Oryzias latipes: one gene and its partners. The protein of the gene in region 3 binds, or shares a complex with, the protein of the main gene of each other region. Links are inferred from orthologs where the notes say so. Each region holds a gene or a part of one and is shown on either strand. Other genes may lie near its edges.

Region 1 (9,574 bases), on a different chromosome or scaffold from region 3:
TAAGCTTAAAATTGCATTTCTGAGTATTTCTTCAAATCGTTATAAATCAGGTACAGACAAAAAAATGCTGTTTGAAAAAGATCATATTTGAGACGAAGAAAATCTGCTGGGCGGGGCCACGAGCTCCCTGCTCCACCCCATTCTGATGCATCCACTCGTAGACGACTGGATCTGTGAACGTCCTGGATTTCCTCGGCTTCCGGTGTAAAAATCTCTGCCCAACCACCTGAGAATCAGTGAAAGCCGACTGTGGCGACCCGTGGCGGGACATGCCGAAAGGTGAACCATAACTCTGGTTCTGTTTGCATAGCTGAGGATACCGTGGTTGGTTAGAGGCAATGTTGCAGAATAAATGAATAAAATCTCCACATGATTTAATACGTAAAAGCCACAATTATGAAATGACTGAATTATGATTTCAAGAAAACAAGGGTAAAGTTAACGCCTTAATCCCAGCTGTCCTTACAGGTGGACTTGGGCCGTCTGTGGGCAGAAAATAGTCAAACCTGTGGGGGGCACGTGGGTGACCATCGTAGTGAACCCATAGAGATCAAATATTTACGTACATCTTTTTTGCACGACCCTCCATGGACCCCTTTACGGTGGACTGTGGCATCTGTACGAGTCCGACGTTCTTTTTCTCTCTCTCTCTCTGTGTTTTCAGAGAGGGACAGCAGCTCTGTACTTCGTCTACACGGCTATGGAAGAGGAGATGGAGAAGAACAAAGATCACCCTCACGTTGCTCCAATCTATTTTCCAGTAGAGCTGCATCGCAGTGAAGCTCTGGCCCGAGACCTGGAGTATTTTTATGGAGAGGACTGGGAGAACCAGGTATCCCGTTTCCAAAGAGTAACTCTGGAAAATCTATTTGTGCTTCATAAAGAGTCTTATTAAAGTAAAGACGCATTTGTTCTTCAAACAAAAAGATTTAGGATCACATTAGGAATATTTTGGGCTGATCTTGCAGATCAGCTTGTCGGCGGGAACTAAGCCTTATGTCGACCGGATCCGCGAGGTCGGGCAGAAGGACCCGGTGTTGCTGGTAGCCCATTCCTACACCCGCTACATGGGAGACCTGTCAGGTGGACAGATCCTGAAGAAAGTGGCCCAGAGGGCCCTGAAGCTGCCATCCACAGGAGAGGGTGTGAACTTCTATCAGTTCGAGGGAATTCACAGCCACAGGGGCTTCAAGCAGCTCTACAGAAGCCGGATGAACGAGCTGGACCTGGACATGGAGACAAAACTTAGGATTGTGGAGGAGTCCAACCGGGCCTTTGGCTTCAACATGATGGTGAGTGAACGGGCTGGAACAAAAACCCGAATGTGAGGACGGAACAGTGTGACAAGGGCGGTGATCCCAACAGGTATTCTCAGAGCTTGAAGAGATCGGAAAAAGCATACAAGAGGAAGTTCAAGAGCCAGGTTTAGGACACAGTCATGCAGAAGTGATGCAAGGCGGTGATATCAACAAGTGCCCGTACTATGCCGCTAAAATGGGTAAGGAATTCATATTTTCCTTTGGTTCATAAGTTTCATTGCCGAAAATGTTTTGGGTTATTAAAACTATTATAACAGAAAAAATCCTGTTGTTTTAAGCAGCTTATATAAGACAGTTTCTTCATTTTAGCATGTCAGTGTTCACTTTTATCCTGTCTTTGATTTACTCCTTCAAACAGCTGCTGGTGGAAATCCGACTTACGCCCTCCAGTTGGCGACCACGCTTGTCAGATATCCACCCTGTCAGGTGCTTCTGGCAGCCTGGGTAGCACTTCTGGCCGGGTTTACTGCTTGGTACATCTTCTGAGCCTTAACGAAACCTCAGCGGTCATTGTTGGTGAATCCCTTCAGACGATATAAGGATTGGTGTTCAACAATGGCAAACTTTAGTCGTCAAAAGCAAAACCGAGACTTCAATTGCTGTCTTCCAGTATTTATTCGTTTTCAATGAACAAGTTGTAGTTTATGGGCATGATTTGATCTGTATCATAGTTAGTGGCTGCTGATCTAATTCATAGTTGATTTTGGTTCATTCTGAACGATCTGATTGGATCCAGATCCTCTGAACCTAAAGTGGATCCAGATCCTCTGTCCTAAAGTGGATCCAGATCCTCTTGATCCGAACTTCCAGCAGTGAGACTCAGACAGAAATTCCTGCTACCGAACAGTTTTCCAGATTCTTGGATTTCTTCCAGATCATCAAGTTAATGAAATCTGTGTCCAAACCAACAAGTAAACTAGAATGAATGTCAAATCCATTCACATGTTAGTTTCCTAAAGTTCACCACTGTTGTTTTTCCACATCCAAAGAATCCAAAGGGAACATTCTTAGAACATTCTAGACACTGGATGGTCACATGACTTTATTCAAAGTCTGTCCACACATTGGACTGGAATGATGGACTGATCCGTGTTCATGACATCACACGTGTGTCGTCTGCTGTGATTGATCGGTTTGACCTTAGAGTCAAAAATACCTACTGTACCTCAATTCGTTTGAAATGATTTTTTTGATGGCAATATGATTGATTTGCAACTTGCCTCAGACAGATCAATCTGGCTGGATAAATCGGTTCATCAATTAATCTTTACTCCCCTAATGCACACTCGTTTGTGTGTGATGCTAAAACAATTCTTCATGTTGTCGGTCAGAAATGCTTAAACATGGAGGGAAATTAGCAGAGTTGGAAAGATGCACTTTGAAATTGGATGCACATTTGTCAATAAAGATTGATTGAATCCAAGCTGGTCTTTTATTTGTTTTTTGTCTGAGAGAGTAAATTGTACGTCTTTTCCTCTTTTGAAGTTGTCAGCATGAAGCTTGCTAATTAATGCCAAAAGGCTGACTTTAAAACGTGAAACTGAAATATCTGACATGTTGAACGGCTCCCTGTGTTTAAAGGCTGTCCGCGTTAGAAAGACGAAATGTCCATGAGGCCTGAAATGTTAATGAAGATGAATTTTTATGAGCCGGCTACTATATATTAAATTATTGAGCAAATGGGTGGAGATTCAATGTTATAAAACTGATGTTATGTAATTTACCAAGCCCCGGCAGCTACGCACTAACCTAGATAACCGGCGACTGTTGATGATGTCATCAAGCATCAATAGTTTATCCAAAACTCTGGGCTTGAAGGGATAAATGTAGGGGTAGGGAGAAACCGGAGGGGTAACGAATTAATTCGGATTCAACCCAATGACTGGATTTCTTTTTCTTCTCTGAGAGCTGAGGTTTCCTCTGAAGAGTGATCCTTCCAAGATATCTATTTCTAGGATTTTTTTTAATCGTTGAGAACATTTCTTTTAGGATTTCTACAACTCATTTAGCTCAGAAAACCAATTATTGATCCTGAAACTGGACTCCGTGTGTCCAATCAGGAAAAATCTGCTACAAATGGCGGACAGATGTCTAAGGCTGAATCCGGATTCTTCCCTCATCCCTGCGGCTTCTCCCTACCCCTTCATTTAGCCCTCCAAACGGAGGGATATGGGAAAATATTGTCTCCTGATTCGGGCATCACTCCCACTCGACGACATAATCCATAGTCCCCGTCAGCGCTCGGAAAATTCCTAACATCAGTTTTATAACGTTAAAGAGTGACGCTAAAACAAAAAGTCCTTAACTTCAGTCCTTCAGAGCAAACCCAAGTGAAGAAATGCATTTCTCCTCTACAGGATCACCCTTTTGAAGGGTTTGCCCCCTTAAACTATTTCAGACCCTCCAAATGCCCCAACAATTGGAGGAATAGGGAGAAGCCGGAGGGGTAGAGGAGGAATTCGGATTCGGCCTTAGTTAGCATTGAACATGTGAAGGTAACAGTCAGGACTGTAATATGTTTACATTTTTATTAACTTCCAGCACAACAGTTTCCCCCCCCCCAAGAAAAGTTCAAAGAATTTATGTTAAACTTCCAAATACTTTCTCAAAGCCCTGTCTATCCACCACCTTTCCAAAATACACAGAGAAATACAACGTCTCGGGGCCGCTGTACCTCTGAAGCCGGAGGATGGTCTCATTCGCTGAATCTCCAGTATCTCCAATGGTCATAACATCGGAAACAGGAATGTACATATCACTGCGCTTTCCCCAGAAAGTAAGGTGGGAAACTTTCAGCACGGTTTGAGATGGATCAAGGTACATCATTCCTACAACCCTCCTGAAGAAATGGCTTAGCGTGTACAGCATGACGCCAGCAAACGCAGCGATTCCAGTGGAGTAGCTGACCAAAAAGAAGGAGACGGCTCCCTGGAAATACAGGACAAACACTGGAGGCAGGATGACAGCAGTGATGGCGGTCTGGAGGAGTTTAAGTCTGGACACCGCCCTGAGGAACTTAATGTGTGGCAGGGTGTAAATCATTGAATATTTGGGGGTGGGCGAGTCGTAGTGTCGGATCAAAGTGGGAACTTTAGCTGGAACGGGTCCAGGGTGGCTCTGAACTGATGAGGAGTGTGGAGAAGGAGGAGACTCCAAGGTGTAAGCAATCCGTCCTGAGAGCAAACAGGATCCTCTGGTACATGACAGAAGGCGGGACGTCAGCCTCCGCAGCAACAGCGACTCCATCTGAGAAAAAACTTCACTTAGAAAAACATCCTTCGAAGTATGCTGAGAGACGGAAAAGCAGTTAAGGTTAGTTTCTTCCAATATCTCATAAAGTGATTTAAAGTTACTGGTATGATATTGGTCTGGTTTAGTTCAACCAGACTCTAACATACATGTTCAATGAAATCTGGGATGGATAAACTACAACATTTGCAATACAGTCAACTAAAACAGTTGTAATTCCTCCTAAATTTGCTAAATGGTATTGTAAGTCAAATGTCTTATTCCTGGTTTTGAACTCGTCTCTGGTATCTGGAAAAGGTAACCTGCTGAGACTAGAGACAGTTCATTCTGAACAGTTGTCGAACCTCCAGAACTGTTTAGTATATAAATAAAATATAAATAAAGACGAAACATCTTAATTGACGAATGAAGTTTTGTTGCTACAAGCAAAACGTGAGGAAAAAGACTCACCAGGACAGGAGACAAGGACATAAAATAAGATAAAATACAGCAACACGAGAACAGGAAGTGATCTGTTAGCCGACCAGTGACCCGGAAGTCCTTTCTTAGTCTTTTATTTTATTACTTCAATTTATTTCAAAGTCACATTTTGTTTGGTTGGCTGGCCCACGTAAGGCGTTTTAAAGTGCTGATAGTATTTATAGCCATATTTTATTGAAAAAAAATGTTTTATATTTATTGTGGTAAATTGTTTTTATTGGTTAAAAACTACAGGCTTTTATTTTGTCGTGACTTGACGGAGCACATCCGGCCCGACGGGAGAATCGATCAGCTTCAGCCGTTAACGGCTGTGTTCAAAGACGCCGAATGTGCCGGTTTCGTTACACGTTCGATGCCGTCACAAGTCAGCGGGGCGGAGCTTGTGCCATGGCGAATATCTGTGCCTAGACAGGTTAGAAAGTCTGAGTGACGCGCGGGCGGTGCTTCCGCTTCCTCCAGCTGTTTCCAGACAGGAGAGGAGCCGCGATGCTTCCGCTGGGGGACGAGGTCGCCCTCCACTCGTTGGTCTTCGTGCTGGTCTTACTGGGGACCCGAAGTCCGCTGTGGTCTGCCGTCCTCACCACTTCCTTGTACTGTTTTCTAGCCATGTTTCGTTTCCCGCAAGTGGCGCGCAGCCGAGCCCGTCTCGTGCTGCAGCCGGTGGGTTGCGGGGCGGAGAGCGCGCGGGTGTCCGTGATCGCTCACCGGGGCGGCGCGCACGACGCGCCGGAGAACACCATCGCTGCCATCAGAGAGGTGAGACGAATGTCTTTACAGGTGTTCACGGTGTCCTGTGTCACGTGGAGACGCACGTCAGTCAGTGTCACATTATTGTGAAAGCTCTGGTGAAAACGGCGTTTCTGGTGTTTTTAACTTGATCTCTTGGCTTTTTTATGGTGATGAAGGACAAATATGAAGAAAGTTGAGAATATAACTGCTTTCCTGAGTTCTTTTTTATTCAAATCGTTGTGGATCAGGAGCAGACGAAAAAATGCTGTTGGAAAAAGATCGTATTTGTGACGTAGACAGGGGGCGGCGCCCATCGGTAGCTTTGAGTTGCTAAAGCAACTGCAAGATTTGGCAAAGCAACCCCAAATATGTAGGAGCCCCACCGTTTGAAAGAGCTTACGTTATCGGACATGTCCTGACTAGAGCTGTCCAAATCTACCATTCCAACATCCAGGGCCCTAGAAATTTCCCAGAAGTCTCTGCTAAAAAACAGTGTGCATGATGCTCACTAGATCAGCGAATATAGACCACAATGCATTGCGTTGGACCAATTATTACCAAAAACATGTATTTTTTTAATGAATCAATGTTTTTATCTTCAGAAGACGGTTGACTAAAATAATCGGTGCAAAACGCTCATAGTAATTATATTTTAACTTTGTGAAATCGATGACATCATATCTGCCGTGTAAAAAAAAAAAAAAAGTTGTGAGCATGGAGTCTGAATTGCTTTTTAAATCCAAGACACTACATATATATATGTACATATACGCTACACAGTTTTTCAGTAGTTAGAGTTGGAATTCAGACAGAGCAGAAGTTTAACTATTTAAGTTAAATGATTAAAATCAATTTACACAAAAACACTGACTGGATACATTTCTTAAACCTTAACGACCACGAACAGAGACGGGTGACCCAGCTCATTTCAGGTTTCAAAAATGACCACATCAGCAGCGGTGAGGATCTGCATCACATGGAAAATGCTCTGGGCGGGGCTTCAAGCTCCCGGCTCCGCCCCTCTTGTGTGCTTCAGTCAAACAGATCCATGAACGTCCCTGTTTTTCTCATTGGAGCAGGAATCTGGATCTAGACTGTTGTTTCACATGTAGTTTTCCACATACGTGTGGCCAGTTTGACCCAGAAGAAGGGTTCAGGTTGGGATTATGGTTCGTGTTAAACCTCCAAACGGTTCCTCAGGGGCTGTTTCTGCAGCAGCGGTGAGCTGCAGACACAAATCGCACCATTGAATCACTCAAAAACATTTTAAAAATAAAAAAAGCAAAACAAATAATTAAAAATAAACAACATTACATTTTGGGGAAAAAAGACATATTCCAGTAACCAAAAGAAAAATTCAGAGAACAAAAGTCATTTCCACGAATCGAGATGAAATGGTAAAAAAAACAAGTCAACAAAATAAGAAACTAGAAAAGGTGGTTATTATGGGATGTCCTTGATTGGATGATGAGTTTTGAAGAAGAGGGAAATCAGAAGGATGGTTCACCAAACGGTTGCAGTGGGCGTGGCCAGAGGTTTAACCACATGGTTCTGTCAGAAGATATCGCCATGACGGATAACTTCCTGTTGAAAAGGTGAACAAACATCATCATCCAATCAGGAGGGGGCTCCCCATAATATTTACAGTTTCTGGTTTCTCCTCTTTTGACATTTCATTTGGATTTCTGGAAATTACTTCTGTTTTAAGAAACGTTTCCTTTTTCTTTTGAGTCATGTTTTTGGGGAATTGTATTTAGTTTTAGTTTTTTTTTTATTGACCTGTAAGTTTCTGGAATGTTGTTTACGTTTCTATCATGTAAAGTTGTTTTGTTTTTTAATGCTGTGTGATCTTAATTTTCTTTTCGTTGAGCGACTAGCTGAAGGGATTTGCCCTTCAGGGCCACCGTAGGTTTGACGTTACATCCTGAACGTTCTCCTGCCTCCATGTGACGGTACTGGAATCCCGCAGACTTGACCCTCTGATTGGTGCAGGCCAGTAAGAACGGAGCAACCGGCGTGGAGCTGGACCTGGAGTTCTCGGCAGACGGCGTCCCCATCCTGATGCACGATGAGACTGTGGACCGGACCACCAATGGATCGGGACCCCTGTGCCAGCTGAGCTTTTCAGAGCTGAGACAACTGGATGCAGCTGCTAAACACCGGCTCAGGTAGACGGAGTACAAACAACCAAATACACAGAGAAAGTGGGAAAACGATGTTCTACTGTTAAGATATACGGATCTTTAAGGTTTAATTACAAGTCGATTATTGTTTTTTTTGTCCAAAGTTTGCTTATTGTACAACTTGTTTACTCTGGTCTGTTTGCTTTTTGCAATCAGTGCATATTTATCCAGCAAACTGAGAATCTGATTCTAGAGAGGAGCCTGTAGCTGAAGGCTCTGTCTGCTTTTCGACTTTAGAAACTCTAGAAACGCTGATCTAGCTTGCTGTTAACGTGACAGTAAAGTTAAAAAAACACGTCATATCTGTGTGACGCTGTGGGACTTCTAGTGGCGCCCGTTGTGCAGCAACCAAGGCCGCCAGTTCCTACCAAGAAGGGCATCGCCATCCGGTTGTTGGTCACATGACTCATTTAATCAAGAAAGTGTTTCCATTACAGTATTTTACAGTTGTGAAATATGTCAATTTGGATGTGCCTCAAAAACCACCTCCTCTAAGCTCAAAAAGCTTTTCTTTTATACATAATTGTGAGTTTTTTCTAACTTGTCGTGTTTCCATGAGGATGACTTACTATCGCAAATCCAATTAGCATAATTTCAGAGCTGTGGTTCTGCTTGGCCCGGTTTGTTCATTCACCAAATGAATGACTGGACATACAGACGCATTTAGAGTGAAACAGATTTGTGTTTTTGCATTTCTCGTCACCAGGGACAAGTTTGCTGGAGAGAAAATCCCAACTTTGGTTGAAGCAGTGGAGGAGTGCATTAAACTGCAGCTCAGCATCTACTTTGATGTCAAAGGTCATCCAGAGGAGGTGAATCCTGCTCAACAGACATGAACAAGTGAAGCATGTTGGCTGATTGAATTGATCTGCATGAAGAGAACACGGATGATCAGGGGGTGGAAACACAAAAAGAGGGTCTGACATCTATTCACTTTTCCCCGTAGCATTTTAACCATTGACTGTGTCTGAGAACTGGACTGAGTGACTCCTCCCCCCTGACGTTCCAAACAGGAAGTGGCTCCAGGAAGCCAAAATCCCATAGAAGTCTATAGAGAAATAAACAGCAGTTATTCATTCTATTGGTCAGTATAACCGTTCCGGATCTGATACCATTTCTTAACAGCTTCTTGATAATCCTCGTTTTTTGTCATATTTTTTCTGTAGTTCAAGTTATTCAAGTCATGAACTGACCAATCGGATGTTGTGAAAAGTAGGCGGAGCCTGCTGGCCCCTACCTCCAACGTTCAAACGTTTGACAGATTTTGTGTAGACCGCTTTCAAGTGGTAGGGGCGTGGCCTTCCAACAAACTCACTCCCGACTGGTGAGCGTGGTTGTCATAGAAGCGATGACTCAGCCCGACTCGGACCAATCACTGCTGACCGAGGATTTTTTTGGCTCCAACATGGCGGCGTCCATACGGCAAAAAGATTGATGCCTTCAGTTGTTTGGAGCTGGAGACGAAGCATTTTGTGTGGATGAGGTCACACGGATTCAGTCCAGTTCTCTTGACACAGTCGAAGCCAGAATCTCCCTCCTTCTGAACGAACGCCAGGTAAAGGCCAAACAGGTGTTGTCTGCTCAGGACAACAGGAGAGTCGTGGATTTACAGCA
Region 2 (10,701 bases), on a different chromosome or scaffold from region 3:
CCCAAAAAAATTTGAAGTTTTCAAAACTTTTTGATCAAGTTCTCAGATTTTTTTTTGGAGGTGGGGGGTTAAAGGAGGTTTTAGAAAAATGCTTTGAGAGGACTTTGAGGGGAAAAAAGAGCTCCTCTGTCCCTGAGGAGGAGACACCAAATGATTCCAAATAGAGCTGGTTTAAACCGCTAACCAGAAAACATCAGCAGGAACAAACTAGCCTTCAGAGATTGTTTGACACGGACAGTCCAACAGTGGACTTCTCCAGCGCATGTACAAAAGCTGGTGATGCAAAACGCAACTTAGACAAGTCAAACACACAGTATTAAGTCACTGACTTTCACACATATTTATAAAATATCATTTAACACAAAAGTATCAATAGCTCGTTGTACTGCTCTCTATTGTTAGAGTGACAAAGCATTTCCTAACTGAATTCCAATCCAGGAGTCAAATTATTAAGAATAAAAGTCATCCTTAGTCTTACGAAGAAAAGAGTATCAAGAGTCAATAACTGAAACCCACAAGCAGACTGCAGACAGCATAAGCACTTCCTCTAATGTCAGCTGAGACCTACTTAGACATATCTACATGACATTTAGACTCTGAACTGCATGGTAGCTTCTTCTCCAACAGTTTCCGTTTCCACACACATCAGAAAAGGTCTACAGACTTTCCTAACCAAGCTAAATAACAATCTAAATCTGCGGGGGCTGAGACACACTTCAACGCATGACAACAGAGTTATTCATTTCAGGCTGTGGAGGCTTCAGACCCAAATGTGGAGTTTTGCACTTACACTCTGTCTCTCACACATCTGATGAAGATAGGCCCTTCCTCCGACAATGACTATCTGGGCATTGCGCGTGTTGCTCAGGTATGCCGCCAGCTGCCGCTGTCTTGACCGGTACCAGCACACGTAGAAGAATATCTTAACAATGATGAATATGATGACAACTCTGTAGAGGGAAAGAGACAAGAACTTCAGTTTTTATATGCTGAAAAAGAAAATGGTGCAAGTGGGATGGAAATCTTTCGGACATTTTGAAGAAGGTCAAGGAAAATGAAATCTGGGGCTAAAATGAGATGGAAATAATAAATAAATTTAAAAAAGAGAATTTTCCCAGGAGTCCAAAAGAATCTCAATGTTGCCCACTTCCTGCCTCAAAAAGCAAACTCTTCTCTGTGACATTTAGTGTTTACACAGGCCTACCAAGCCATGCCCCTTTGAGGTGGGAAATGTCAAAGCATTTCTGGAAAAAAAGAACAGTTTCAAAATCAAATTCCATCCAAGACTATTTGATATAATTACAGCAGTCTCATATGATAATCACATAAGTGCTCCTCCAGACAAAGCTGACTGCCATCCAGTATTATTACAACACACAATAGCTGAGGCTTGGATGCCTTGACACTGTCATTAAAATTACAAAGGTACATCAGTTATAATTATCAAATCAATAAAAAAATCATAATATACTTCAAAAATATATTCTTTAGGATGGAGGACGATATTTTAATTTAATAACTACCTCACCTGCAGCGGTTTAGCACTCATCTGTTGACATAAAAGTATATCCATGGTAAGGTGTAATTATAAAACCATAAACTTTACTCACATGTACCAGTACAGCTCCATGTTCTTCTTCAGGTGTTTATCTCAGAGAGGAGAATGTCATAACTGGAGAATAACGTGCCGAGTCCTGTCCGAACATCCAACTCAGTCTTTCCGGGGAAACAAGAAAGAAAAAAAAAGAAAAGTATATTTTAGAAAATATACTTTTTTTTTCTTTTTCTACACTATAACCTGTGTTTTTATAAGCTATATATGGGGTGCAGCAGAATACATATACATTTTTTGTGACTCGTTTTGTTTTCAAATTGTTTAGCAAAACTTAAGCACCAGTTATATTAGTGTTCATATATTTTTAATTATCATATTTGTATCTAAACAAGCATAGAAATGAACAATGATGTGAACTTACTAGTAACGGCGTCTTAAACTTCTGAGTTATCATAAAAAATGAGCCATTCGTTTTCACTTCGCCGTTAATGTGCAGATTAATAATCCCGAGGAGCCGATATGGCTGCTAATGTGGCTAAAACGTAGCAGGCCGAGGCAGAGAAGACTTTTATCACTCACCGCGGGGCTAAAACAGCGACCAGAACCGAACTATTTTAAAACCATGGCTGCTATTTTTTGAATACTAAAATCTATTTTTCAAGCGTGCGACAAGTTAACGAGGAGCTAACAACTTCACGCGCACGGCAGACTTGAAGCTAGCCGACTAACGAAGCTATGTGGTGCGTTTACAGCTGCCTTTCGCTTTGTCAGAGGGCGGTGTTCGTGAGACCTCGTGTGTGGAGGGGGAAAAACAATCGACTTTTACTCAAGATGGTTCTATTAGTAAAAAAAATACATTTAGGTGTCTGTGATATTTACATTCACCATGGATCACAATTTAACATTGGGTTCACGTAGAAAGCTAGAAAACGGTGTAACAACCCGTTTTTCAGCGACTCCTTAGTAGTTTGTAGTATTTCCAACAGTCCGCGAAGGCAGCACAAGCCTTCAATCTGTCAACATGGTGAGCACGGGTTAACTTGAAAAACAAATAATAATAGTTAAAATAAAGTTATTAAAACATTTTTTTAATTGAAAGTCATAATAATAATTACAAATGCTAAATTTGAAAGAGGGTGTGTTAAAAAGGAGATTCGTGTGAAAAAAAAACTCTTTTGGGGGTGTCAAAAGCTGTAGCAATGGGGACATATTTGTTAAAATTGACTAAGTAAAAAAAAAAAAAAAAAGATTTGTTAGACATTTTTCTGCAAGTTTTTATTTAAAATTCAGTGTAAATCATGTTAATAGGTTATTTAATTAAATTAGGGTTGCTACACATTTTACTAGATTTTCAAAATACTAAATTCTGCAGCTCCATCTGGTGATTCTTTTTTATTCACATTTTTACATGTAAAACAACAAAAAAGGATAAAGTAAGTTTGAATGGAGTAAAACATCCCCTACATTTAAAAGCAAAATTTGATCAAATTCATGTTTTATAGCATATTAGTTCTGTAGAATGTGATCATTTGTAAAAGCATACATTTATCTTCAAAAAAATATCTCTGTATGTTCTATTTACAAATTACTATTGTATTTTCATTAACACTGCGATAGAGAAGCTTTCTACCAAATGCTGAGAAATAATTTTATTAACCAATCCATTTCTTAAAATTTCACAATAATATATTCAGGAAAAAGCCATTTATTTAGTTCACAGACATGAAACCCTGCTTTACAAGTGCAAACGTCTTGACTTGTCCCCTGAGTGTCAGAAAAGCTCCTCATCTGTTGTCCTCCACAACAATAGTCCGTCTCGGGTAGGTATCTATTTCTACAAATACATAACGGAATTCATACTTTCCAGTTTCAAGATTCTGCAAAACAACAAGGATACCATTATCTCAACTGATCAAAAAATCCACACAAGAAACAACAGGTTTCCATTTAAATAAAGACTTACCTCTTTAGACTCTGAATGCACCGTCCCTTTCAGGCCCGGCTCCGATCCCTCAATGTAAAACTTTAGTCTCATGTGCTTAAGTCCATCCTTTACATACTCCACGTGACTGAAGTGGAAATATGAGAATAAGGAATAAAAAAACTCCAACAATAACATATATATGTAATAACCTTAACATTTTGTAACTCCATTCTTCCAGAGCTCCAGATTCTCAGATGCTTACAATAAATCAGCACGAATACCACGTTAGCTCTTCAAAAGACAATAAAAACTTTTATGTTTCATAGCTGTGGGGTCTGAAACTAAATTCTCCTTCATGACAAGTTTTGCATAAACGTTGAAGGAAATTCAATGCTGCTGAAAATATGATTTATAGCTGATGTTCACAGGTTGTGATTCTGAAAGGAAGTCCTTCAAATCCTGCAAAAGCATTTCCTCTAAAACTAAAGGCAGCTGCTTGTTATGCCAAGTTTGATCAGATTTACTGTATTCTATACCATGAATCAATGAATGCTAAAGCAACATTTTGCAAGTAAGAAAAAGTTCAATAAGATAAGATAAAGTGTCAACACACCTGACTTGCTGCCTTCTCCCTCGGCGGGTGGTCTCACCGTAACATTTAATTGGTTCTCCAAATGCCCCAATAACCTGCAATTGATTATGTATTTCTTACTTTTATTTTGGAAAAACAATGATTTCTAGCCATTTCAACAGTAAAAAAATATTGATAGGAGACGCCGTCTGGCTTGATTTTTACCTCTGGGTGCGACCTGACTTTGTCAAAGGCTCTGCTGTAGACTTTATTTGGGCTGGTAGAGGAAAACAGCTCTTGGAACACCACATATAACAGCCCCCCTGACCAACACAGCAGAAAACTGCAGCTGATTATTTAGGTTGTGTGTTCTGGGACCAAATAAATAAATATATAAACAAGCAATGTGGGATTGTTGTGTAGCCATTCCTTGGACTCGTGCAGTTCAATTCACCTGTTACTCCAAGCCCGATGAGGACCACGATCAGGTAGGTGAAGTCTCTCCCAGCATCTTTGACTGAAAGACAAACAGAGCAGAGGCTCTTGAGTGGCCAATGCATAGTGGAAGAGTTTAGATTTATAAGCAAAATTTAACCCAGAGTGAAAATATTCCAGGTTTGATATAAAAGGAAACTGTGTGTCTGTGCAGACGGGTAGCTCTATTAGACTGCGGCTATAAGAGATGACAAGAGGAGGAGGAACTCATCAACATAACGTTAGGTCTGGCCCTCTAGTATGCCCCGAGGTATTATGATGACAAGTCCTAAAGATCTTTAGTTAGTTAGTTTCTGCAGAGCAGCAGTAGTTCAATAGAAATTGACCACTGTGCTGTTGGCGTGGAGCAAGCCTGCTCCACTTCCCATCACCAACCTATTACCCGCTCCCCCTCACACCCCCAACCTAACGTTACCAGAGTTAGTAATTACTTCATTACTTTAAAAATAATGACATAAAAATAGAATAAAGGAGCAAATTCTTGGTCTGGAATATATATATTCCAATGCTGGAATAAATGCAAAATGAAATATATCCATTGATTTGATGAATTAATGCAGAATTTATCTTCAAGATTAATTTGGATTTTCTTTTCTTTTTTCAATAAACCTTGTTCAATTGGATTTGGCATTGCTTATTTCAAGCAACCAAAGCAAAAACAATGCTGAAAACTACACAATCAACATCCATACAAACTAAGATGTATCAAACATAGAATATTTAGTCATTTAATTAAAGATGGCTTGAAAGGGAGTGGAAGGAAGCAAACTTATCAAACTTAACATTTTCTTTACATGAAGTATCCGGTTCATAACTTCTAAGCGGATATTTATACCTTACCAACACAGTTTCAGGTCATTAAGAATCTTTAGGTATCAATAAATCACATGAAAAAGATGAAGTACATAAAGTGAGTGAATGAGGTATAGACTAAAGAGGGCCCAGAACAGAAACCTGAGGAACACCACAGGAAAGGGAGTAGGAGTTATTACTTGCCAAGAAACTTTGAAAGCAGCTTTGGTTGTAAGAAAACAAAATGGGCGGTCCTAAAACAAGATTTTTAGTTTTTTCTAAATAAAATAGTAGCTTTAAACCCCATTTAAAGAGACAAGACAGTAAATATGCGTTTAGTTGCACAAATCTGAAATGGGCATACCTTTCTGAGCAGAGGACACTTTAGGACTCTGGTAGGCAGAAACAGACCTGTGCTTCTCCTCCTTGTTTCTGAGGATAACGTGAACAGAAAAGCGTCTTCGTGTTTGACAGAGACAGCTCAGGGCGGACACAGGAGCCTCTGACCCACGGACGGACAGGCCGGGGATGACCGCTCCTGCTCTGCGTGTGAACAACAGCACGCCAGCCTGCTGCACGGGGAGAAATGTTTTCCCGGAGCTCCGCACACTTTGTTGCACGGCTTTTAAAATGTGCGTGAAAGACATTATTTTATCCGACGGACAATATCTGAAAAAAAGAAAAGAAAACAGCAGCTCATCTACTGAAAATAAGAATCAAATAACAGCGGTCTTTCATGGTAACATGGAATTGCAATGCTGGAAACCGCCATTCAGACCTCTGATTCACTGACCTGCTGGGTCGATCAGACGTCGAGGATTTTCTAAAGATGGCTACTGCCCCCTTCTGTCCCGGATGTCAAACTGCAGCCTTATTTGTGGTCTGGGGCTTTTTTGACCTTACGTCGTATTTCGCTTTATTGATTTATCTTCAAATCGGTTTTTGCGGCAATGCTTGATTTCCATCCTCTTTTTAAAAACCCACACTTCGTTTTACTGATTTTGTTTTCATTATACTGCACAATAACTCCACAATGAAGTTGAAACTGTCCAAAAAAGTCAATTCTGAGTGATAAATGTGGTCTTTTTTCTGCTAAAGATTCAAGATTCAAGAATTCTTGAAAAAAGACCACATTTTTTAGCAGAAAAAATGTGGTCTTTTTTCTGCTAAAACAATGATTAAAAAATTGAGATCAAACAGTTTTTATGTTTTATAACAAAGGTAAAACGTGTTGAGACAAAACAAAGTTATAAATCCAAAAAAACAAAACATGCAACAATTTAGACATACTTAATTAGAAGCAGAGTTTTTTCAACATAAAAATAATTCACTTAAGGTTTCAAACTTATTGACTTGGTACTTAGGATTATGTAAATACTTTAAATAGACCCTTAATTAATACAAGTTTTTTTTTTAATTACAGGTATAATTTATTTTAAAAGGATCCTTTCATGTTGATAAAAAATGAAAGGAAAACAAATTACTGCTCACTACAGCATTACTGGCTAAGGACTTAAATGCACAGCAGACATGAATATGTATTTGCTGAATGGCTGTTTGAGTCAGCACTCCCACAAATTTCAGAAACATCTGATAAATGCATATATTTTCTTTCCTATTTCAATTAAAGTTGCACTTTCCTGAAAGCAAATCCACATGATTGAGATTTTATAACAATGTTATTTAGTGTCTTTGTGATTATCAATTACATTTTTGGGGCTGCTTGAAGTTGATTTATTCCGAAACAATATTCCTGTCTGTTTTTATTCAAATTTTTGTTCAAAATAAGTTTAAAATGTTTGAAAACGTATCTTTAATGTGTTCACTAAATGTTTATCCTGTTCGGCCCACAACCTGGACCCCTGTGCAATTGAGTTTGACACCCTTGTAATACGAGTATATAAAATTCTTACATTTGTGTTGATTTTTGTGTTAATTAAAAATAGGGAACACAAAACGATGTGGTCAATGTGGGTGTGGGGGGGGTTGTAAGTCAGTGTAGAACTGCCACTGAACAAAATATTTCCATTGTCACACCAGCTTCCTTCTTCCTCAGGGGATTGGTCAAATACAAAACTGGTCAATTTGTAATATAATCTATAATAAAGCAAGAATAAATAAATAACAAACACAGATTTTGTTTTAATTTTCTGGCTACTCTTGTTGGGGATCACCACAAAATCCTCCCACGTCGTTTGGCTTCAGTTTTACAGCGGATGGCGTCTTGGACTCAACCCTCTGCCTTTACCCAGACTCGGGACGGGTTTGTGGAAATGCTGAAGAGTGGCCCCATGTTGTCGCATTTGAAACTCAAATAAGAGAAAAACGTTGCCACACAATAAAAGCGGTAAATATTAGTTTATTTAAAAGATTCAGTCCAGCATTTTCCCAATATGTTATCAAATAAATGTCCAAACTGAGTTTTAAAAAATCCTCTGCATCACAAACATTCAGAATAAACTGTTAGTAAAATGCAAAAAAAATAAATAATAAACTAAAAATTAGTTGATCCAATAATTAAAAGCTGTAACATTACCTTTAACTTTTCTAATGACCAGTTTATATAAAACAACACAAGTTTCTATCGTGAAGACATCACGTCAACATAAAAAAATAAAAGCTTTTGTATTTTGACAGATACTTAAAAACAGTTTTCAAACCTGTAAAGATTTTTTTAAGTCTCTTCAAACAAATTTACATTAAAGGTACTGTGTTCTCCCCCAAAAAAGTTAAATTTTCTGAAAGTTGTCTATTTCAAATGATACTTCAAGGTTCTTCCACTCTAGAAAAATCCATATCTTCCATCCAAAGCAAATGCAAACTTTCTGCTAATTGTTTTCCCTCATCTCTGCAATCTACAAGTTACTACGGAAAAAAGTCCTTTAAAGAGGAGTGTGGGAGGGAAACCGATACGTCGCTGTGAAATGTGTCCGGATGCAGAGGAATGGTGCATCTGCAGAAAAAGAACAGCATCGTTAGTGCAGGCCTTCTCCTTGTCCTGCATCTTTGTCCACCGCTGCCCCAGCTGCTTCTGACTGAATTGACCTGGACTTACTTAATTAGTGACGTCTCCGCCTCCGTCTCTGAGCTGGTAGATGAGTTTGCGACTTTGCGTGTGCGCGTTTGTGTGTGTTTGAGAGGGAAGAAACAGACAGAAAAAAATCGATAAGTGCATGTGCAGCTCTGCACAGGTTTCCTTCTGGATTTATTTCTGTGAGAGGTGAACTGTCCAGCAGTGACAGACACAAAGTTAAAGCGATGTGTGCAGAAACAGAAAAAAACCCAACAGTTTATTTAGTAACCACAGAGATGACTGCACATGGATCAGAGGAAACAGTGGATGATGCGTGTTTTTGTGACACTAAAGACACACGTACAGGCGTGTACATGATGAATGCAATTCAAATTATTACAAAAAAGAAATAAAACACATTTAGACACGAGAAAACTCACAAGCACAAGTGTGTTAATGTGTCAAAGAACTGCACTGGCAAAATAAATCCAGAAACATCCTGTTTGGAAAAATGTTTGCATCAATTTCTGACTAAATATTATCTGATCTTTATCCAGTACTAATAAACAAAGAAACCTAAATTATTACAACTAATTAAGAATTTTAGGTATTTTTTGAATAATTTCTCACAGTCCAAGGTAGATAAAATAAAATAAAAACCTCTTCTCAACTGCTTCCCAAAGGCCACATGCAGAAAAGAGTCTTAATATGGAGGCCTTTAAGCTCTAAGTTGGTATTTCTGACTAAATGCGCTACTTTTTTAATTTTTATAAAGGAATTAGCCAAAAAAACTTCAAGATTTGGAAATGGATGAGAAAAAATACACATTTTTTCAAGGAATAAAGGCACTGCACATGAAACTCGCAACCCTCACAGTCGGCTTCCAAACACCTTTCAGCCAATCGGAGAATACGGAACTTTAAATATAAAAATACTATGTTAGTATTTGGACAAAACTTATGACTTTCAGGAGATGCAAATGCAACAAACTGTGATGCAAATCAGACAAGGAAGTTGTTAAAATGATAAAAACAAACCACATTCTTGATGTGAACTCACACATGGAGCAGGATGACTTTAAAAAAAATCTTCCAACAAAGATTTTTCAAAATTATTAATCTTATTGAACATGTGCAGCAGTTTTGCAAAGATGCATAATAGAGCATATTCAGATAAAATATTATTTCTTACCTATACAGTTTATTTTTATGGTCAGATCCCAAATTTAATGTAAAAAAAATCTTTGTAAATTCCATTACAACTTTTATCTATATTCCTTCATAATGTGAATTTTTATGAATTTATTTAGCGAAGGCTGCCTTTTTCCATGACACGTTGCAGGATTCAATAGCCGCTTTTGTCACTTTATTGTCTTTTTTGATAAGAAACAAATTACTTTTGTTCTTAACTAATGTTCCTCAGACAAGAACACACAGACAAATGTAGATCAGATCAGTAAATTCAAGAGAAAAAAAAGGATACAATTCATTTCTATTGTTTTATAAAGCACAGGTAAAATTAGCCCTGAAAGATCATATTTTTTAAAAACAATTCATTCTTTTGATACCTTTAGTATAAATGTGTTTCATTATAAAGACACGAAGCTCCTACATTAAAAGTGATGTTCTATTTTTATTTTTATTTTGTTTTAGTTACAAAATAAAAAAAAAACAAAGCCTATCTAAAAGTTAGTTGAAATGTTCAGAAAGAAATATTGTCAAATTAATTTAGGATATTTTAGGGGGCAATGTTGTGTAAAAAACTTAGTTGAACATGCAGCACACTCAAAGTACTTTGAGGGTTCTGAAGGGAATTATTAGTATTAGTAAGAATATTCTTAACCATTTTATCATGTAGATGCTTTTAGAAAAGAAGCATGCAGAAGCAATAGTCTTAAACTTTTTTTGGTAATCCCAGAAATCCCGAATTGGATGAAGTTAGTAATGAATTCCATTTGTTTCAAATTTTGACCCAATTTAAGGAACTCTAATCAGTTGTTTAAATCAGAATATTCAAGTCAATAATTCTAAATAAGTGAAACAAAGACGATAAGTCAAGTTAGGAGGGACTTATAACATAGACGAGTGTTTTGAACGACCTGAAGCTCAAATTGAATGATGTGAAAGTAAAAGTCCAGAGGAGGAAACAGCCTTTCACAGCAGCTGGGCTGATTCCATCTAGTCCTCAGTGTTCAGCTTTGCACATGAAATCCCCCCCCCAGTGTTCATTTCATCAGTGTCCTTCATCATCATCATCATCATCATCATCATCATGCTGGTGTAAATCTCTGCTCCGCTTTTTCACTTGTCAGAGAATTCCGCTCAAACTGCGCCAGGAGAACGCTATTCTCA
Region 3 (10,393 bases):
CGTTTCATCTGTCTTTGCTTTTTTGTGCAGGAAGAGCTGCACCATGAGGGTCCCCATCCACCATCTGCAGAGGCTCACCATCTTCACTACCGTCCTGACGGGTGGGGGCGTTGGCACCATGTACTACCTGATGCAGAGTGAGTGCATGTGTGCGTGCACGCGTTGAAGCAATAGTCTGTTCAAAACAGAAACTCCTGGTTCCGCTTTACGGTCTGAAAGTGGCTCTGGTTTAGGAGTGGAACCCGCAAATGTCTTGGTCTGTCTCTCTGCTGCAGCCCCTTCATGTCTCTGTGACTCATGCACACGTACGTGCGCATGCTCTCTTTTCTGCTATCTCGTCAGAAAACTTTGCTGGGAGTGAATACCATCAACTCGCTGTGCGACAGCTGAAGGCGTGTCCTGTTGCCATGGAGAGCCTTGGAGCCCCGCCCTTACGAGTTCATAACATCCATCTGACTGACAGATACAACCGTGTGGACCATCAGGCAGCCCAGGTACAGTCTGTCAGGGGGGTGTCCAGCCGCTGTGTGATGATGAGTAAACTGACCAGTTTCTCCATTATCACAGGAAGATGAAAAATAGGATTATTTTTGCTAACAAAGTATTAGGCAGAAAAAAATATTCACAAATTAATTCTGTGCATTTGTATGCAGCCTGCTTATGCCGACATAACAGAAGGCAGAATAAATCCAGTTTAAACACACAGTTTAGTTGTGTGACATCCTCCAGAACAGGAAAAGCAGCAGAATTCTAGTTGTTACTTGTCAAATCTAGGTCTGAAACCTGTCCCACCTCAAATTAGGGCTGTGTATTGGCAAGAGTCTGGCGATACGATACGTATCCCAAAATTTTACCAAAACATATTTTCTTTTTTTCTTTAAATATGGCTTTGAAAAAACTCAACCTGAATTTCAATATGTCATCCACTGCAATAAAATGGTCAAATTCAGTTTATTAAATGATCACAATGTTAAGCGCTGCAATTGCGTCTCATGTATAAGTTCCATTTACCAAAGCAAATTCATAGTGCTTTTATTTTGGTAAGTTAAAATATAGAAAGGGAACAGTCAACATTGTTTGATTTCCACAACAAAATATTTTTCAGTATAAGAAAAACAAAGAATGAATGAGCCTTAACCAATAAGTTTCTATTGGGCAAATAAAATGCTGTTTATTTTCAACTTTGCTTAATGTAGCTTCTCCATTACTTTTAAACGGTTCAGGAGTCAGAATGGTGCTTCAAAAATAAAGGGTGGGGTGTGGGGGACACACTGATTATTTCCAGAAACAATAAAGTGATGATGAGGCAGCATGACGGAACGACGAAAAGATGCTTTAATGTGACAAAAGTGCTTTGTTTACATATTATCAGTCTCTGCCTGTGCTGCACCTTTGGCTTTCCAGCCACGCTTCATCTCACACGGAGGTAAACTAACGCTCCTCGCCACGATGTCGCCTTTTTTCAGAGCGTTGTACACATTCCTCTGATCCATCAGGTCGCTAAACTAGAATCTATTGCTGGGATGTTTTGCAGAATTTTAGCCCGCTTTGCTGATTAGCAGGTTTTTAGCCGATGCTAAGCGCATAAGCCTCTTTAGCCGCTGCCGTGCTTCACTCTTATTTATCTGAGCCGCTAAAAAGCATCACAATCCTCGTTTTTATATGTTGCTAGAAGCAACATATAAAAAGCAACATGGCTCAGAGTTTCTGTTTGGTATCCATCGCAAGTAAAAACGAAGTATTTCATGTCTCATAACAACAGAACAAGCTGCCTCTGGCTGCAGTCTTCCTGTTGTCTCGTGCAGAGTAGAGCTGCTCTAAGAGGCTCCGTGTTCTCTGCTGCCAACTAGCGGTCAGAGGATGAAGTGGAGAACAAGAGTCAGACGCTGAAGAGCGCTCAGAAATAATTAAATAAATATCGTTCTGGCAGTAGGGTTGGGCGATGTCCCTTAAATTGGCCGTTGACGATGTTTGCTGTCAATCATCGGTATGGACGATGATATCGTCGTGGGGGGGGCTATTTTTAATATTTCGGTCTTATATAATTGCTATTCGTTGTTTTACTTTATTACTTTATTTATTTTATTTCCCAACTAATGACTCATCCGCGATGATCCAGTATAAACTGAGGGAAGTGACTTTAACAAAAAAAGTAACAAACAAACTAGAAAAGAAACGGTCCGCTCCCGCTCTTAACTAGTCAAGTGGACCGGCGGAGCGTGGACTTACAGCTTTGTGTTTGAGGGGAAGGGGGGTGCTTTGTTACATGAGCGGTAGTATGTGGGAGATTTAGAACTGCGATCCATTCCGCAGCTCTAGGGGAATGGGCTACCGAACTCAGAACCGGGTCGAAAAGTGTGTGTCTGAGCAGAGGATCGTGAGCACACACACAGCGCTTTGGGGCGGTTTGAGCTTCAAAGCAGAAAGGCCGCTCAGTCCTTAGAAATCGTTCAAACAATCACGTGGATTTGTGTTTCGAGTCGTGTCCCGACTAAATAAAGGCTAATGTTATTCCCACATGTTTACATGCAGCCAAGATGCAGATTGCAGCACCACCCAAGCTAATGTTGTTAGCCCGTGTTAGCATACTGCTAATTCTGGCTTCTTTCTGGCTCAGTTTTTCAACAGAAAAAGCACTGATTAAAAATAAAACGATGAGCGAACAGGCGTTTCATAATAACCGTAACATTATTAAAAGCAGGTTTAGATGATCGTCTTGTATATTACCGAGCTGACATATCAATGTATAAAACCGCTCTGCAACATTGTTTTGTAATGAATTGTTACATTCAATAAAGTTTGAGAAAAAAATAGCCGCTCGGCGGAACTGATATCCGCTTCCGGTTTTTCAAATCCTACTGCGCATGTGCGAATGATTTATTCCGACCGAAAGTGTGACCCATGTGAACGTTTGTTATAATCTGAAAACATTTTTCTGGAACCATCTACACAGTTGGATTCTAATCCGACCATCGATCCCATCAAGATATTTTTCACATGTAACCGGGGCTTATGGTGTCGACTCGCAGCTTGGCGGGGGCGTGGCATCACGATGGTGTCTCTCCATCGGGATGTCACTCACCCATCACGATGGACGATGTTTCCCGACCAGTTCTATTGTTTCCCCTGTATCGTAATCAGCATCAGTTCATTGCACTTTACCATGGCTCCTGGTAAAAACGTACTGTGGCTCAGGATCGTTTCAACTCGATTTTTCCTAATAGAACAATAGACGTTGTGTAAAATAAGACACACTTCAATGAATTTACAATGGCTAGGTGAATCAGTATCAGTAGCGATAGCTCAGTGGGTACATGTACACAATACACTATAGCAAGTCAATGGGGTCTGCATCCAGAGGTGCTGGGTTCAAGACCAGCATTTAAAAAAAATAAAATAATTTGCTTTGTGTTTATTTTCTTCATGTCATGAGTGTTTTGCTGTGTCAAGCACTTCTCACAGAAAACGTCACATGTCATGTTGTTTTACGTTTTATTTTTTAATTATTAAAAACAATGTTTTGTGTTACGTTTTTTTCCATCATCACTTCTACATTGAAGTGTTACAAGGAGCTTAGTTGAAGCATATGATATACGGCCAGTCCGCCACCAGATGCCGCTGTTCTGTGTGGTTTCAAAGCCCTGAATGGCTGGTTCATTTTTCCGGCACAATTACATGAAGCCCAAGGGAAGCTTCATGGGGCTTCTATTCCCATCGCTAACAATTCTAACTATTCAGTAGGACTATCAGTTGTGTATCCACCTGACTTCTGCACAACACAACTGATGGTCCCGACCCCATTTATAAGGCAAGAAATCACACTTATTAAACCTTACAGGGCACACCTGTGAAGTGAAAAACATCTCAGGTGACTACCTCTTCAAGCTCATCAAGAGAATGCCAAGAGTGTGCAAAGCAGTAATCAAAGCAAAAGGCGGGTACTATGAAGAACCTACAATATGACATATTTTCAGTTTTTTCACACATTTTTGTTATGTATATAATTCCACATGTGTTCATTCATAGTTTTGATGCCTTCAGTTTGAATCTACAATTTTCATAGTCATGAAAATAAAGAAAACTCTTTGAATGAGAAAGATATGCGATATTGGTGATTAATAGTGCGATAACGATATAATTCGCGCTATATAAACAAATAGCAAAACAACCAAAAACATCATTTCCGTGTTCACTGCAACAGTTTAAAAATTATACTCCAAATGACCCTCGTCGACGTAGGAGGCAAACATCAAACATAAAAGGGCTCATCTGATTGATCAACAACGTAAACGGGTCCTTCCGACTGGTTAAATGCATAAAGGGATTTATTTCATTTGTTCAATATTTCAAGCTGCCATGAGTTTGTTTTAGCACATTTAAGGTAACCATTTATTGCGATTTTCGCGGTCTTTTGGGGTATGCATATTGCACAGCTTAATGTCGCGATAACGATAAATTTGCGGTATACTGTGCAGGCCTAATGTACATGCATCATTATACGCAAAGTGATGAGAAGTTGTTTTTGAAAGGATGGGTTTTAAGGACTAAATATGACGGTAAGCCAGATGCTTTGCTTACCATAAATACAGTTGATGATCAGGTGGACGCCTCCTTGCCCCTCCCCCTTCACCATGTGCTGCTTTTGGAGCATGCTTCTGATTACAGAAATCCTACCGCAGAGTGTCTTTGGTCAGAGGTTATTTCAGATCCTCTGTGGTACTGACTGAATGTTACAGGAGATCTTTCCCACTCGCGTCTACAAGTTCAAGTCAGCTTTGTTGTCAAAAATGCAATATATATGGCATCCAGCACAGTCATCTCAACCCACAGTCAAACTGCCAATAATAATAATGGTCTGATGTACAAAATATATACACAGGAAGTATCTAGAAAAAGTAAGATTGGGACATGGTATTCAGTATGGATAAAGGGGCAATAGTGGTTATGAGACAGATTCGTGTATCTTCATGTAATTCAATTTTTTCAATTAATTTTTTTTTTTGTATAGCCCAAATTCCCAACAACAGCAGCCTCAATGGGCTTCTTAACGTGTAAAGTGACAACAACCTACAGTCACTTTGATGAATGTTGGAAATTTATTGACTGCAACTTCTATTTCTCTCCTTGTAGATAAAAATAGATGTGTGGTTTAATTGAATTATTTTTTGAATGTGTTTTTTTTCTTTTCTTTGCAGATTAAGATTCCTGTCACAGGCTCAAAGACTGGAGGTTATCTGTACACGTGTTCACACAGAGAGCCACAAACACACAAGTGGGTCTGCTTCAGTTTTTTCCTCTGAACGCTCAGTACAAATTAATAAGGAGTTTGTGCACCCCCCTGCAGGTGGGATTTGAAACAGGCTGAGCTTCACCTCCGGGAAGGTTCCGTCATCGACTTGCTGAACCCTCCTCCTCGTCCAGCTACGCCAGAAGAAAGTACACTAGAGGAAGACATGGACAAATGGCTCTGAACGGGAATTCCAGACCAGTGTCTGGTGCTGAGGACGGGCTATGCTTTGATCATTACCTCGTACACAGAGCTGAAGCTGTTTGTAGAACGGTGCACGTCATTCTGCAGCGTGCAAATGAGAACCAAAGAGCTGAGGCGCAGCTTTGACTGTAATTTATTTCAAATGTTTCTCAGTCTCTGTTGGAAAGGATACATTTGTCAACACTGACTCTTCACTCAGGAGGCTCCTTTTTCACTCATCTCCCCTCTGGCAGACTGTCTTTTTTTTGTTTGTTTTTTGTTTATTGCAAACTAAAAGAGAATTGCGACATACCTGAAATACAAAGAAACAAACATATAGTTTCATATTTGTAATACAACTCGGCCAGTTATTCTTTTTTCCGAACACCACTCTCCAGTTTCCCCACCCCTGCAAAAAAGGGAAAATAAATGAATATCTTTAAAAAAAGAAAGAGGAACACCCTCAACCCCCCCCCCCCCCCCCTCTCCATAGTTTGCAATACAAAGCTATGATATATATTGTCCAATGTAACAAAAGCTTACCTCTATATGATCAACTCAATGGCCAAATCAGTCAACCAAATGGCAACATAAATTAGAGAAATATAGTTACATAAATAGCTTATGTAATAATATTTATACGTAAGAAAAATAATACTTATAATGCTAATAATAATTAGTAATAACTGGAATATTTTAAACTATAGACTACGCGGACGTGGTGGTAGAATGTGAGGAGGCGAAGGAGAAGAAGTGATCTAAAACCCGACCCCAGACTGAGAAAAATGTGTCCCTCAATCCCCGAACTGAATATTTTATTTTGTCAAGTTTTAATAGTTGCATAAGATCCGTCAGCCACTGGGACACCCTGGGTGGGTCTTAAGATTTCCAGTGCAATAATATACGGTGCCTTGCAATTAGAGTAGCAAAAGCAAGAATGTCTTTGTGTTTTTCTTAATGTATCTAGGTTTTGGTGTGAAACACCACATATGGCTGCTTCTGCACTAGGCTGGAGACTGATATCTAGAGCATCTGATAAAGTTTTAAAAATTGTAGACCAATAATTCACCAGAGCAGAGCATGACCAGAACATGTGGGTTAGATTGGCTGGGCTATTTTGACATCTGTCACAATTTGCACTCAGATGAATTAAAGATAAATTCTTGACAGTTTTACTTTAGAGAAGTGAGCCCTGTGTATAATTTTAAACTGTATTATATTTAACTTGGCACAGGAGGTACTGTGGTTAACTCTCTGTAAGGCCCGGTTCCATACATTATCATCCAAAATCCGCCCAAGCTCTTCCTCCCAGCTACCTCTTATTTTCAGAAGAGCTGCGCTGTCATGAAGTGATATGCAGTCTTTGATTTTGGAAATTAATCTTTTGTACCTTGAATTAAGTGGCAACTCAAACACCTCATCTATCATGGAGACTGGTGGGATGTTAGGGAAGGTCATGCTGCTGAAGGAAGTGACGCACTTGAAGGTAACGAAAAAAGTGAGAGTGAGGCAGATTAATTTTGGAAGCAAGATCATTGAAGCTTGCAAATATACCGTTTAGGTACATGTCCTTAAAGTTGATAATACCTTTCTCTTCCCAAATTGTGAAGGCGAAGTCTGTCTGACCAGGGAGAAAAAGGGGATTTTTGCGTATAGGACTAGTGGTAAGCACCTGAGTGAGTGTGTACGTCTGTCTGAATTGAAATATAATTTTAAAGGTATTTGTAACTATTGGATTGTGTGTAATATAGTGTGAAATGACACAGGGAAGACTAGATCCAATTAGGGCTGTCAGAGTTGTTTTACAGGAGGCGGCTTCGAGTTGACACCAGTTGATGTCAGAAGCCTGGAGCCAATGCATAATTTTTTGAATATTAGAGGCCCAGTAGTAGTGGCACAGGTTTGGTAGGCCTAAGCCACCTTTGATGTTTAGGTCTTTGTAATAATTCTAAACAGACCCTTGGGTTCTTGCCGCTCCAGATGAATGAAGAAAAGCTTTTGTCGAGTTTTATAAAAAAAAAGATTTAGGGATGTAGAGGGGAATGCACTGGAACAGGTAAAGGAATCTGGGAAGTATATTCATTCTTATACTGTTTACTTTGTCCTTCTCCAGTAAGGCGAGGACATTTTCTTGATACAGACTTTCCATGTCTCTTGTGATATTAATTCCAAAGTACTTAAAACCGTTTCTGGACATCTGAAACGGTAAGGCAGTGTCTTGTAATTGAAGCGCTAAGTTGTTGAGAGGGAAGCACTGACTTTTACTGAAGTTTAATTTATATCCAGATTTAGCCCCAAATTTCTGTAGGATATCATCAATGTGGGGAACAGTTGGGACAGGGTCAGAAATATACATTAAAAGGTCATCTGCGTATAACGAAACTCCAAGCTTCCCCTCCCCTGTGGATGCCTTATACAAGTTGATGATTTAAGGATAATAGATAAAGGTTCTATAGCTAAAGCAAATAAGAGAGGACTAATTGGACAGCCTTGACGTGTTCCTCTGAATAACGGAAAATACTTAATTGTTTGCCATTTGTGATCACAGAAGCTACAGGAGAAGTATACAAGAGCCGGATCCAGGAGAGGAAATTTGGCCCATATCCAAATGTTGGCAGACTCAGTCTTAAGAACAAACAGGCTGAGGAATAGCCTCTTTCCCACGGCAGTGAAGACACTCATTAAGCAGTCGTGACCCCCGTCCCCCCCAGAGTATAGAGTTAATTCAGTCTCAATAACCAGCCTAGAGAAAGTCGAAAGGGCCATTCGATTGGCTGAAAGCGAACATGTCTGCTTTGCTGATTAGTTTGATTGATAGATTCATTAGCCAATGATGAGATTAGTTGACCTGCTGAATTAGTTGCAACGATGGTCCCAGCACATCACCAAAAACTAGAACAACCTCCAAGAAATGGTAACCCAATTCAGAACTGGAAACCTCATGTGGGACCATATCTCAGAACTCGGTATATCATTCACTTTGGAAACCTCTCCTCGACCTAAGAACTTGATCCAGAACTGAGAACCCTACCTAAAACTCAGGTTCCTTCCTTGATCCTGGTGCCCATCAGCCTTGGTGCCTTTTAACTTCAGCACAATAGAACCAATCATTGACCATTCAAGTCACGTCCAGCTTCCATATCTTCATGGTGCGTTCCCATTGAAGACTGCCATGTGATTTGCTAAACACCAGAAAAGTGTTCAATAAAGTTCATTGTGTCTACAAAGTTAACTGAGTTCTTAAGTTATTTTTCTCAGAGACGGTTTGTGTTTTCAACATACCTTACATGTTTTGGCGGAATCACTTGACGAAGGCGGAAGTGATTCCGCCGAAACATGTAAGGTATGTTGATAACACAAACCGTGTCTGAGAAAAAAACTTGGACTCACCAGAAAAGTGTTTTTGATACATTCTACTTTTGTCTGATAAAGTGCATGAGGGTTGGACCATTTGTCACCAGGACCATGTTTTCCTCTCCTCGTGTTGGAGCTGAAGCTGATAGCCATGTCTGCTTGGTGGTGCTCATAAAGGGATCATATCTTGGGATCATTTCACAGTGCCGTTACTTTCACCATAAAACTTTGCTTCATTTTTCCTCCAGCTCTGGGTCAGTCTCAGTTGGTTCTTGTGATGTGGAGCTAACCACAAGAACTTGTCTCGTCTTTATTTTTGTGGTTATACGGACAGTTTGTGGTAAATCCTTTTGACTATAAGCTGCTGAGGTAAATAAAAAAGCTTTTTTTTTTTTTACAAAAACCTGGTTGCTTAAGGCCGTGTCATACATTTTGCACATTTTGCACGTATGAAATGTCATGATCTTGGCGTGATTTATGTCATTCATGAGTGTTTCTTTCGTTTTTCACTTGTCGATGTGTGCTGATGTCCGTCAAGGGTTTTGACCGACGGGTCTTTACATGGATTTGGTCTCAAGCTGTTCAGAAGTCTTGGTTGATATGGCTGAGAATTACGCAGTTTATGTATTTTTGCGAGATGCATACACAAATTTGTGGCTTTCCACATATGTCTTACAGACTTTTCATGCATGTACCACCAATGTTTAACTTTTACTTCGCATATACAGCACAAATATCATGCTCAAATTAATTGACGTACGAATCACTAATGAAATGCATATTATCTGCACAATAATCACACACGGTTCATGTTCCATCTTGCTTTACGATGAAGTGATTATATATGCCAACTTTCTAAGTTGCAAATGAAAATAATATATATTTGCTTTCAAATGCGTTTTCTTTGCTTTTAAATTTTTTTTTTACTTTCAAAAACTTTTTTTTTCAAATTATTTTTATTGCTTTAAATGTTTTTTTTCTTTTTTGCTTTCAAAAAATATTTTTGCAAACGCAAAGTAGGAGAATTTGCACAATTGGTGGCTGACTAAAATCACTTTCCCCCCACTGTAGCTTCTGTTTCACAAAGGTGTGGAGATGAAGCTTTAAGCTGAAGGTCTGTTGGAATGTTATAGTCTCATGAAATTTTTTAAATTTCAATGAGCATTGGGGGGGGAGTGGTTTGAGCCATTGGATGCTGCTTTGAATTTTATTTCTACATTTTATGGTCCATGTTTGGGCCAAATAACCTCAGTGATCAACCTGATTATCCTAATTGTAATGTCCAGTGGAAAGATTCTTGGTTTACTCTCCATACTGAGCAGCAGAAAGTTGGGCAGAAGGAAACTTCCCCAAATAGAAGGTAATTCAATTCCCTTAAAATACAACACAGTGTTAAGATACTTGTTCCAAAAACCTTTTTGTTTTTGTTCTTAGTGTGGTTTTTGTGCGCTGGTGTCAAACTCGTTTTCCAGTCAGTCAAGGTAGACATTATCTGTCTTTCAAACGCAGCTGACCTGCCTTTGACTTACATCTCTGTCACTGGCTGACACTAGCTTAGAAAAAGCTTAT

What was found.
Region 1: cytochrome c oxidase assembly factor 1 homolog (region 3) and tmem186 share a complex: the UniProt entries of both Homo sapiens proteins name them as parts of the mitochondrial complex. The link is inferred for Oryzias latipes from reciprocal best matches to the Homo sapiens genes COA1 and TMEM186.
Region 2: cytochrome c oxidase assembly factor 1 homolog (region 3) and timm21 share a complex: the UniProt entries of both Homo sapiens proteins name them as parts of the MITRAC (mitochondrial translation regulation assembly intermediate of cytochrome c oxidase complex) complex. The link is inferred for Oryzias latipes from reciprocal best matches to the Homo sapiens genes COA1 and TIMM21.

The regions. Positions count from the first base shown.
Region 1 is NC_019859.2:36,184,887-36,194,460, reverse strand, and holds tmem186 (transmembrane protein 186), read right to left. Parts: upstream 5,179-9,574; 5' UTR 5,040-5,178; coding exon 5,019-5,039; intron 4,566-5,018; coding exon 3,900-4,565; 3' UTR 3,831-3,899; downstream 1-3,830. Other genes in the region: heme oxygenase 2, read left to right, coding at 665-832, 969-1,292, 1,366-1,498, 1,678-1,805; gde1 (glycerophosphodiester phosphodiesterase 1), read left to right, coding at 5,535-5,804, 7,770-7,945, 8,667-8,772. UniProt on the Homo sapiens protein: As part of the MCIA complex, required for efficient assembly of the mitochondrial complex I.
Region 2 is NC_019878.2:15,514,953-15,525,653, forward strand, and holds timm21 (mitochondrial import inner membrane translocase subunit Tim21), read right to left. Parts: upstream 6,131-10,701; 5' UTR 6,116-6,130; intron 6,007-6,115; 5' UTR 5,985-6,006; coding exon 5,702-5,984; intron 4,568-5,701; coding exon 4,505-4,567; intron 4,374-4,504; coding exon 4,276-4,373; intron 4,167-4,275; coding exon 4,093-4,166; intron 3,625-4,092; coding exon 3,519-3,624; intron 3,433-3,518; coding exon 3,340-3,432; 3' UTR 2,816-3,339; downstream 1-2,815. Other genes in the region: uncharacterized protein LOC105356682, read right to left, coding at 791-950, 1,611-1,630. UniProt on the Homo sapiens protein: Participates in the translocation of transit peptide-containing proteins across the mitochondrial inner membrane.
Region 3 is NC_019875.2:5,299,535-5,309,927, forward strand, and holds the end of cytochrome c oxidase assembly factor 1 homolog, read left to right. Parts: intron 1-30; 5' UTR 31-43; coding exon 44-137; intron 138-342; coding exon 343-494; intron 495-5,195; coding exon 5,196-5,272; intron 5,273-5,344; coding exon 5,345-5,471; 3' UTR 5,472-5,829; downstream 5,830-10,393. UniProt on the Homo sapiens protein: Component of the MITRAC (mitochondrial translation regulation assembly intermediate of cytochrome c oxidase complex) complex, that regulates cytochrome c oxidase assembly.